Drosophila melanogaster: one gene and its partners. The protein of the gene in region 1 interacts with the protein of each later gene in a pairwise test. Each region holds a gene or a part of one and is shown on either strand. Other genes may lie near its edges.

Evidence for each region. Proteins that work in one complex are often made in the same cells at the same time.
Region 2: the proteins of CG42851 (region 1) and CG31775 interact in a two-hybrid assay, tested with the Drosophila melanogaster proteins (one large-scale study listed by BioGRID).
Region 3: the proteins of CG42851 (region 1) and Syx8 interact in a two-hybrid assay, tested with the Drosophila melanogaster proteins (one large-scale study listed by BioGRID).

Annotation. Positions count from the first base shown.
Region 1 is NT_033778.4:24,806,608-24,811,198, forward strand, and holds CG42851 (uncharacterized protein), read left to right. Parts: upstream 1-2,717; 5' UTR 2,718-2,854; coding exon 2,855-3,049; 3' UTR 3,050-3,500; downstream 3,501-4,591.
Region 2 is NT_033779.5:14,736,590-14,739,391, reverse strand, and holds CG31775 (uncharacterized protein), read left to right. Parts: upstream 1-1,622; 5' UTR 1,623-1,661; coding exon 1,662-1,673; intron 1,674-1,740; coding exon 1,741-1,998; 3' UTR 1,999-2,302; downstream 2,303-2,802. Other genes in the region: CG31835 (uncharacterized protein), read right to left, coding at 2,392-2,802.
Region 3 is NT_037436.4:16,585,608-16,588,798, reverse strand, and holds Syx8 (syntaxin 8), read left to right. Parts: upstream 1-1,741; 5' UTR 1,742-1,820; coding exon 1,821-2,358; intron 2,359-2,411; coding exon 2,412-2,572; 3' UTR 2,573-2,691; downstream 2,692-3,191. Other genes in the region: CG32163 (uncharacterized protein), read right to left, coding at 999-1,430; UQCR-C2 (Ubiquinol-cytochrome c reductase core protein 2), read right to left, coding at 2,775-3,191.

The DNA.
Region 1 (4,591 bases):
GTCACAGCCCATGTCCAAGTCAAAGCCTCATCACCAGCATCCGATTCCGATGGGGACTGGGACTGGGACTGGGACTGAGACTGGAACTGTCTCTGCCCCCCATTCATTTGGCCTGGGTGTTGACCAGTCTCAGACTGCGCCCGGGGTCATCTGGCAGCTCCTGTCGTCCCTTCCAGAGAGAATCAGAGAGACAGAGAGACTGAGCGAGGGAGATCGACCTGGGCTAATGATTGCCAGGGCGGCCAGCTTTTCGTATATTTCAGCTGGCCAAGTTCCGAGGTGGTACGAGTATTTGGCCAAAACAAGATTGATTTCCTGAAATCGAAACCTTGAGACGAGTTGCACAGCCAGAGACACGCAAGGGGCCCAGATCGCAGTGATAATGATTTCGAGAGCCAGTTTTTCTCGCTCTTTTTACGAACTCGGATTGGGGCTGTAGCCATATCATGGTCCAAGGTCCGCGTCCCCTTCAGCGAAATGCAAAAACAAATTGTTTGTGGGTCAGCGTGGCGCGGGGCAGGGCCTAAGAAGAGCAGGAGGATGCGGATGGTGATGGGGATGGGGTGGTGATGAGGGTGAGGATGAGCGGGCCATGGGGCGTTCCGTTGTTTCAAGGAATTCAAGGGAAACAGAAACAGAAAAAGGATGAGGATGAGGAGCCTGCCCGGAGGCGGGGAACGACCTCGTCTGGGGCTGCTTTGCTGTCTCTGCACTCCAGCTCCATCTTATTTTTCAGGAGACTACACACGGAAGCCTAATGCTGGCCATGTGATTTGTGATTTGAGATTTGTGCTTTTGGGCCTCGATCTGTTTCCCTGGAAAACGCGCCATTTCTAGCCTAAGTTCTGGCAATGACAAAGAGCTGGCCGCTGACTGGAGCAGCAGGAGGCACAAGCGGCATGCAGCAGCAGCGGCAGCAGCAGCAGCATGCTAATTTATGAAGTAGCAACTTGCAGCGACATGGATGCAGTAATTATAGCTTGGCAACTTGTTGCCAGCCTGGCCCAACTGCATGAATGGAAGAAAGCCAGCCCAGTTTGCTGTTTTCCATGCTAAACAGAAGCTGTTCTACTGCAGCAGCAGTGGCGGCGTCAGGTGAACGCGGACGTGGATGGGGATGTGGCTGTTTGTGGTGGATGTTGTACGTAAACGCGCCCACTCGGTTACTCCGATCGGCTGCAAAAAGCGCTCCAAACAGCTAAGACAAAAGTAGGAGTCCAGCCATGGAGTGCCGAAGTTCTTACTACTCTCTATCGACATAGTTCGAAGCCCATAATCTGCCAAATTGAAAATTCAGAAGATTAAACAATCAAAGAAATATATATTGCAACCATATTTGTGTATTTCGGTTATATTGTACACGCTTCTCATAAAAAGGCATATACCTCGGTTTCAGGGTATCAAAATAACTGGCTTAAAAAAAGCTAAAAAAAAAAGGTCCTACCCCGTGGCGTTTTGGCTTTTGATGGGTTGGCTCTGCTGACTGCTCGGCAGCGGCAACATGCGGCATGCAGCAACAGCATCAGCAACGGCAACATGGGGCAGCAGCAACATAGTTTACACACCTACCGATGCCGCAGTCGAAATGAAGTCGGAGAAGAAGTCGGGGGCTGGGCTCCGTCTGCCGAACCCTCTGGCCAGCAACATGCACTTAACTGGTAGCCACAATGCACTTTATAATACCCGGGAACATGGCTCTCATCTGTGGCGCGGAGTGGGTATCTGCCCCTCCTCGCAGTTTGATAGATGCGGCTGACTCGGACTCCCGGAGCGATCTACCAGGGGGCGTTGCTGCTGTGCTGCAGTGCAACATTGGAGGACAGAGTCGCAGTTGAAGCAGCCGAGTAGGAGAGTAGCATAGCAGCAGAAGCTGCACCGTTAGCTGGCTTGGCTTGTGAGCTTGGGCCTCATTTGCATCGGGCCATAAACTCGGTGGCCCAGTTCTCGACGGGCGAACCCGTATCCGAATCTGCATCCGACTGCGAGTGCGAATCCGATTGCGAGCCCAATTGAGACGAACTTTGAGCCGGCGCTAGGCAATGGCCTTGGATTAGTTAAATCCGTTCCGTTGCGACCCGCCTAATCCTTCCTTCCTGCAGGGCACCTCATTAGCCACACCACCACCCACCCAGGTAGGGGTAAGGTCAAGGGTTTCCGGGCTAAGGGCTCGGAAGGTGTTTTCGCCGTGTACCAAAATATAATTAGCGAGCCGGGCAAATCTCTTTTTAATGCCGTCCAGTCAGCGGGGGTGTTCCGATTGAAATTGGAGCGTAGCCGAAGGAAGTGTGAAAAGTCGATGCAGAATTTCCGAAAACTGAGCCCAGGACGCTGAAGCTGAGGTAGACGAGGCCGGGAATTAAAAGCGCAGCCGCCTCTCATCATCATCAGCATCATCCTTAGCAACGTCCGCAAAACACTCACGCACACAGGGAATTAAGTTGAGTTCTGGGTTCTGGATACTGGATTCTGGATTCTGGGCACCGAGGTTCCAGTTCTGAGCTCTAAGTTCCCAGTTTCAAGACATGAAAGATGCCGACCGATGCCGAGGATTTTCGATGTGGCGCCGGCCAGTGAGTATAAATCATATCACTCACACACAAAAGGCGTGGGAAGGGGTAAGCTGGTATACAGTCCCGCGACCGCAGTCTTTGTTAATTAATTGCCCAGCTCCAGAATAGACACCTTTTCAGGCTTCGAATTTTTTGAGCCCCGAAGTCACAGCAAACTTTGCATTTTTCGGAGGCGGAACCAAATTCAACAACATATTTGATAGATTTCAGAAAACCTACGATTCATAGGTTTCAAGGGGCCTTGCAGATCCATGTGGCTTCTCTTGCTCCTGCTGGGTCTGCCGATGGAAACAAACGAAGGAGAGGAGTGCAGAAATGGACTAACTCTCGGACGCCAGCAGTGCTACCTCCACGAGGAGATCTTTCTAGCCCACCACCCTTTGCAAAGTGTCACAGCCAAGAGGCTCAAGCTTCCCTGGTGGTGCGCCCTCCTAGAAAGCCTCTTCCTGCTCCTGCTGGTGAAGCTGCTCCAGTTGTAGATGAGCCAACATCTCTCTCTCTTTCTCTCTCTCTCCGTAATTGCCGCTGATGTAAGCGGACAGGTGGAGGCGACAAATGTCACACATGCTGCTCGTAAATCACATCGGAAACGGTTTTGCTCTTGCTGCACATGATAATTTGGCCAGGGTGGCTTGCTGGAGGTCTGGCCTATGTGCTTCTAATTAAATTGTTCAAAATGTTTTAAAGCGCGCTTTTGGGTCTGGCGCTGGAAAATCGCTGACAAATGCTTCCATCAAAACACAGAAAAAGTTTTCATTTTGTTTTGTCAATGTCCAGGCCACATAGCACTCAACGGTGGACGGGCACAGTGGGCTGCGATCTATGGAAATGGGAGCATATGGAAATATGGCATCACATGGTTTTGTGACAAATTATAAATATATATTTTACAAGAGGTGACTGTAGAGTAAATAAATACTAAATCAAATGATATTTTAGATATGATTTAATCCGTATCAATGATGAGTAGCCAACACTTTTCCCGTTCGAATAAAACGGAAACAAAACTACGGCTACGAGACAATTTAAAACGAATTAAAAGCGCAACCGTTTGAAACCTCCCGAACCCAAACAAACCGAACCGAAGGCATCCAATTGAAAATAGCAACAAGTTAATTTGGACAGCCCCTCCCCCGCCTACCTTCGCTCCTTTTGGTAAGTCATTAGAAAAAATGTCGAGTCGCGCAATTTGAATATTTCGATGGGCAATGTATGCGACTCCGACTCCGTCGGTTAATTTAAGGTGATAATTGCTTTTTAATGTGACACAACTAAATTTTTCCCATTTACATACTGCTCGTTGTTGTTGTCGTTGTGGTTGTACTGCTTGTTGTACCGGAAGTTTTTTGGGCCTGCGCATGTGCAGCCAAGAGGTCAAAGGGTAGGAGGAGGGGGCTGAAGGTGCGGGGCCAGACACTTGTTACGTCGCTGGGATAACAACGATGGCAACAACAACAGCAACGACAACTGCCGACGCCAGTACAATAATAAAGTGTCAACAATTATTTTCAAATTTCCAAACATTTCATTTCATTTTGGTTCGGTGCTAAGCTATTTGATGTTTTTTGGGGTTTTTGGTTGGTGCTTTGTGGCTGTTCCTTTCGAGTGACGCTGCTTAAAAGGTTTTCAAAGTGTGAAATTGGGATTGCCGCATCCCCTTCGTAGTTGAGCGGATTTCAGGGGTGGAAATATTCAGTAATGGGTTCAACGAGTCAAGTTGGAAGAGTTATCTAATACCCATGCACTCACTCATGTAATATAGTTAAATAAATTTCAAACTTTTAAAGTTCAAATAAATAAATTAAATCAAAAGGAGTTTTAAAACGAATTATGCGAATTAATGTTCTTAAGATGCCTTGCGATCGCGTTTTTTGCTTAAGTCTTTTGTTTTGAAATCGGCTTTTATTCGTATCAAATAGAACATCAGTTCTACCTAGATTGAATTTCAACTAATTGATTATTTTCACAATTATTATTATTATTATTATGGAGCTATTTATCTCCATTTTACTATCCCCAGA
Region 2 (2,802 bases), on another chromosome or scaffold:
TTGCGTTGAACACATCGGTTCTAAATGTGGCTGTTGTGCCATTAGTTACTCTTCTGTCTCTGTCTCGGTTTGAATCTCCATCTCGCTCTCTTCTTTTTAATTTTCCCGACTTGGTGCGCGGCAGTTGTAATAGAAGTTTTCCGGCTTCATGCACCTCCGCCCTTGCACCACCCCCTTTCGGCGACCATTGTGGTGGATTCAGTACACTCTTAAAAATAAGATGTTTAATAAACATATAGCAGGTGGAAGCCGAATGGAGCGATTTGCACCAAAACAAAGTAATAAAAACAAAATTTTCTTATTTTTTGCTTATTATTTCCTATCGAAATCTATATACCCCAAGCTGTGATTATTAGATTAAGCGTCTGCGATGAGGTAGCAAAATTCTAGCACTGCATTAACAGAGCTGATTTCTGATCAGGGGTTGAGGACCTTTAGCCTGATCTTTCTTCTTGTTAATTTGTTTTGCTTATTTTGGAGCTGATTAGCTATATACCGATTAAAAGCTTTTCAATTGCCACTAAAAAAAAAGTATAAGAAACGGCGAAGACTTTTTAGCGCTGCATTTAAATTCACAAGCTTAACAGTATTCTTTTAGGCTGAATTTGCTCTCAAAAAAAGTACAATTGGTTTGGAAAATTTTAAATGTTTTTGAATGTAACCAAACACAGCGAAAAAAAATACAAATAATATTTCTTTAAAAAAAAGGATGTAAAGAAATAAACTAGTCTTATTAGTTTAATAAATACAATTTTTTAAGACACATAATTTCTATGTTTTTATAGACGGTACTTGTGGAGTAATTGAGTATACCAAATTCTTTAAAAAGTCTGTGGGAGTTCGAAGAAGGCGTTGCCGAACCTTTACCTATACAGAATATATATATTCTTCACCAGCATCACCAGCGGAGTCTATCTAGCCGTATTCGTTTGGCCATCTGTCTGTAAGCCTGTCTGTATGAACTGAATGAGATTCAGACCTCTAAATAGTTCCAATTCTTTCAGAACCTGTGCCAACAACACTCTAGATTCTTCATTGATTTCATCTAGTCTTGTCTTGTAAATATCTTAGTTCTTCTATTAGCTAAGAAATGGGTATCTGATAATCGAGGAATGCGACTATAGTGGTCTAACCTGTTAAGCGCTAAAATTCAAAGACATAACATAATTATACGTATGTATAAAAAATTAATCCATGATTACAAGGATTTCATACTTAATTATCCCTCCTCATTTCGAAAGTCTAATGATAACCCAGAAAAGCAAACAAGAACATTTGTTGCCGTAACACGTTTGTGATGCGTGAAAACGGAACATAAATGATCTAAAGTAATCTCAAACAACGTCTTCTTCTAAGTCGCCCTTAGTTTTTCTTAGCAACTGTTGCGGACTTATTAGATTAGGCTCGACTTCCCAGATAAGATTGATGTTGAAGGGTTCCCCCCGTTGAGCATAGGCATTGATACAGTGCTCAAATATTAATTTCCCAGACGTCTGGAAATTTTTTTCGTATTTTTGTTGGGTTAATTGTACTTGATTTTGTCAGAACATTGATAATACTTCGGCGCGTGACGACATGATGAGATTGCAGGAGAGTATAAAAGATCGGAGGCGTCCAAAAATTTTATTCACATTAGCAAGACTAACCGAAGTATCAGCACCATGAAGTTTTTGGTACGTTTTACATATACGCTTCAAAGAAAAACCTTTAAGAACTAAGTTGATTTTAATATTGTTACAGATCCTCTTCATTGCCCTATTCGCCGCGGCCGCTGCCCTACCTCAGTTTGGATTCGGCGGTGGATTCGGTGATCAGCAGCAGCAGCAGCAAGGAGGATTTGGAGGTGGATTTGGTGATCAGCAGCAGCAGCAAGGAGGATTTGGCGGTGGATTCGGAGGTGGATTCGGTGATCAGCAGCAGCAGCAGCAAGGAGGATTTGGAGGTGGATTCGGAGGTGGATTCGGTGATCAGCAGCAGCAACAGCAACAAGGCTGGTAAAAACCAATTCATAGCACCGTCTTAACGCAGATACCTCAATAAAAATATGACACCTTTATGATAAAAAAACAATTGGAATTTTTTACTTTATCGTTCTCGAAAATTTATGAGTTTTATGAAAATAAATTTATATTTATTATTCATTTATATTTATTAAATAGTGCCCAGAAATAAATACACTTAACATAAGGGACAACGGGAAATATCTTCTCTTTCAGATGTTCAAATGGTTTTACTTAAAACATTGTAAATATAAATAAAAGCCAAAATATAAAAGCCATATTATAAATATAAGCCAAATTTTCACAAAAATTTTGTTTTTCTTTGAAATATGTAACGCAACTAAAAAGCGGATTCAACATGATTGAAAAAACAGATACAATTTCGAGTATCCTAATCAATGGCCTCCTCAGCAGCCACCCTTTTGTGCTCCTCGATCTGCACCTTGTCCAGATCGACTCCATCTTTTTTGGCTGCCCGTATCTCGCCTTCCCCCTCCGATCCGTCTAGCTGGTTGGTCTGCCAAACTCCTGTCCACGGCAGTGACATCACTGACATGACCTTGACCAGACTGCTATGGTTTTCCTGGTCTAGATCACTCTCCCCATTTCCTTCCCGTATTCGTCTGTCTCCATCCGGCAACTGCAACTCCTCGCAGCACAGCATGGAAATCAGCAAGTGCTCAACGAAGAGGGTTCGCCGCAGCCTTTGAGATTCGTCCGTATCGTGGCACTGCACTTTTTGCTGTGCAATCCACTGAAGTAGAACATATCTGTCGTCGTCGTGTTCGAATGGCCCCCCGGA
Region 3 (3,191 bases), on another chromosome or scaffold:
TTTTGCAGCGGACCGATGGCTTGCCTTGCCTTTTCGATTTCCCACTCCCGCGCGGAAAACGCTCAAAACGGCGGATGCGCTCGCTTCCGATTAGTGGGAATGCTCGCGCACGCTTGTACAGGCACTCGGCATTGTGGCCAGCGGATTTTGGTCGCGATTTGTTTCCTTCTTGGTTGTAATTTGAAACAAATAAAATAGAAATCACGACTAAATAAATTGTGTGTACGTGTGAGCTAGCGATGGGCGATAGTTGCGTACCTGCTACTAGTCGCGATTATTTCACCGTGACAAGTCACCGCTTTGGCGGCATGTCACGACTCCATATTTTTCAAGTACAAAATTGACGTAGCACAGCAAATTTTAAACAATATGAATCAAGCATACCAATTGCATACTACTTTTATGAAATCCTGCAGCATACTTCCAAAATATTTATAAATAGCGCTCATTGTAACCCAGTGATTTCTTCACACCTTGTGTCACAGCCATCGTAGCCCAATGCATGCATGTGTGGGTGAATCGTGTCACCATATCGATACCGTGACTTTGTCCACCGCGCCGGGCCGGTCCCAACTATCGTATGTGCGTGGGTGGCCGGAGTCTGGCAACGCCCTTTGCTAATTTCAGGGTGGTCACACAATGCAAGGTGGTATATATGGAAATTAACAATTTTTTAAAATATATTGTGAAAACTAGTTTACATATTTTAAAGAGGTAATAAAACATTTGTTTTTAGAAGCATAACAAAATAGCTTATATAAGAAACCGTAATTTCGTCATTAAATATAATCTGTTACCTTTCGGTTTAGAAATTTTGAAATAATTTAAAAATAAGCCAATTCAAATTATTTTCATGTAATTTTTCAAAAACCGAAGGAATTCAACAAATCTGAACGCAAATATACGTTTATATGTATGGTGTCTATGTGCATAGTGGGGGGATTTATTTGTGTTCAGTTTGATTGTGTCGACAATTTTGAAGTTTTGTTTTCGGTTCCCTAATTTAATATGTACTTGGCGTATTGCGGCTCATACTTGTCGATGTAGTGCTGGACAAACCGACACCTTATAATAATGAAGTGCCCATTCAACAGTGCGTAGTCCAGTGCCGACTTGGCCAGTAGCTTCCCAATGCCATGTCCGCCCAGTTCCTCCGGGACGTTGGTGCTGTTGATGGTCATCACACCGTCCCTGATGGAGTATACCAATACAGCCCGGAGCTCGCCAATGTCGGTGTAGAACCGACCTCTCTTATGCCGGACAACAATGTGCGTACCAAAACATCTTTCCTGCGAATTTAGGTTTGGAACCTTTAAAATTTGACCAGTTAGGGTGTGGTTACTTGTGGGGATGGTGTAATCTCTCGAGCACAAGGAATACGTTCTTCGGCCACCTTGCAGAATCAGAATTGGAAGCAATTTGGAAAGCATTTCTTAATTTTTGTGAGTAGTTTCAGGAATTCGGGCCGAATAATCATACTTCACATCATAGTGACGATTTTCGAGTGACCAGCTTAAATTATTTAGTAAATAGTTCACACTAGCAACGCACCTGCGAGGTGAATTGATAAAGGATTGGGGATTAATCGCGGTGCATTTTTCCAGCTTATCTACAGCTACATAAGTATAATATCTAAATCAGTTCAAACATTGAAGATTATTTCCGAATCCCTTCTTACTGGCAATGTGACCGTACTCGCGCTTACTTATTTTGCTACCAGCCATCAGCTGTTGCTCGGCTATTGTTTTTGTTTTTGTTACTTGGATTGCTGGAGGCGTAGTTTTCTGCTTTTGATAATTACTCATAGCAAAAGCAGAGAAATGGCGCTGGTGGATCACGATTCCTGGGACATCGAGTACGAGGGCTGCGAGCGACTGCGGCATCAGCTGCTGGTATACCTCAACCAGCGGCAGCAGCTCAATCCGAGGACGAGCCAGTTCGTCCAACTGACAAGCAGCATTCAGACGGGAATAGAGCAGCTGGCCAAGGACATGAAGCACCTCAAGGTGGTGCTGGACAACGCCATCACCTGGGAGACGAGCCCGGAGGAGGAGCTGCAACAGCGGCGCATCGACTGGGATAGACTTACTTCGCAGCTGCGCGAGATCCGCGAGAAGTTCGCAAACAGTAGCCGCTCCAATGTCCCGGCCGCATCCGGTTCTGCTTGGCAGGATCAGGATCTCGGCCCAGGTCACAGCAATTCCTCGCGGAATACCGCCTTGGATGTGGAGGCTCTGAAGCAGAAAAAGACCGAGATGCTGGCGCAGCAGAACGAAGGACTCGAGGTTCTATCAGCCACATTGTCCAGACAGCGCCAACTGGCCACACAGCTGGGCAACGAGGTGGAGGACCAGAACAGTGGGTATTCCCCAGTCCCTGCACTACCAATGCTAATCCCTACCTCCTTGTAGATATCCTTGACAACTTGGCCAATGCCATGGACCGTGTGGAAACGGGTGTGCAGCGGGAAACACAGAGCATTGGACAGGTTAACCGGCGGGACAGTACCTGGGGCTACTGGCTCGTCATCATAGCCTTGTTCGTCGCCATCATTGTCGTGGTCTTCGTCTAGCTCCCACGATCCATTCCAGTTGTTATACTACTTTATACTATGACCTGCGTGGAATGTCTATCTGTTAACCCAAAGTTTGATTATTTATGTATACACCAATTAAAGTAGGATTTATAAGTATTTACGTTCGCGGATCGATCCCCTTGATCAGGTTTATTTAGTCGTTACATTACGGTTAACAGATGTACAGGTGTTTATATACTTAAGCCAAATCGGAGGCGTAGGGCACGTTCGCCAGGTGCCCGATGGCGCCGACGGCCAGCTTGGAGCTGCCCACCTTCTTGGCCGCCTCCTGGACCTGCGACTGCGAGATGCCATCGATTGCGCCAAGCAGGGCGTCCGCCTCCAGCACGTTCCGGGTGAGCGCCGCCTGGCGACCGATCTCCTTAATTAGACCACCGTCCGACGAGTAGCGCGAGATGATGCGCGCCTTCAGAAGAGCCTTGCCTCTGGCCACATCCTTATCAGACACCGAAGCCGACTTCAGGCCGCGCACCAGGAACTCCACGGTCTTGCCAATGTCCTTGGAGTCGGCGGAGACCACAAAACCGAACAGACCAGCGTCCGAGTAGCTGGCATTCACAGCCTTGACAGAGGCTCCGACGCCGCCGGCGCAGTT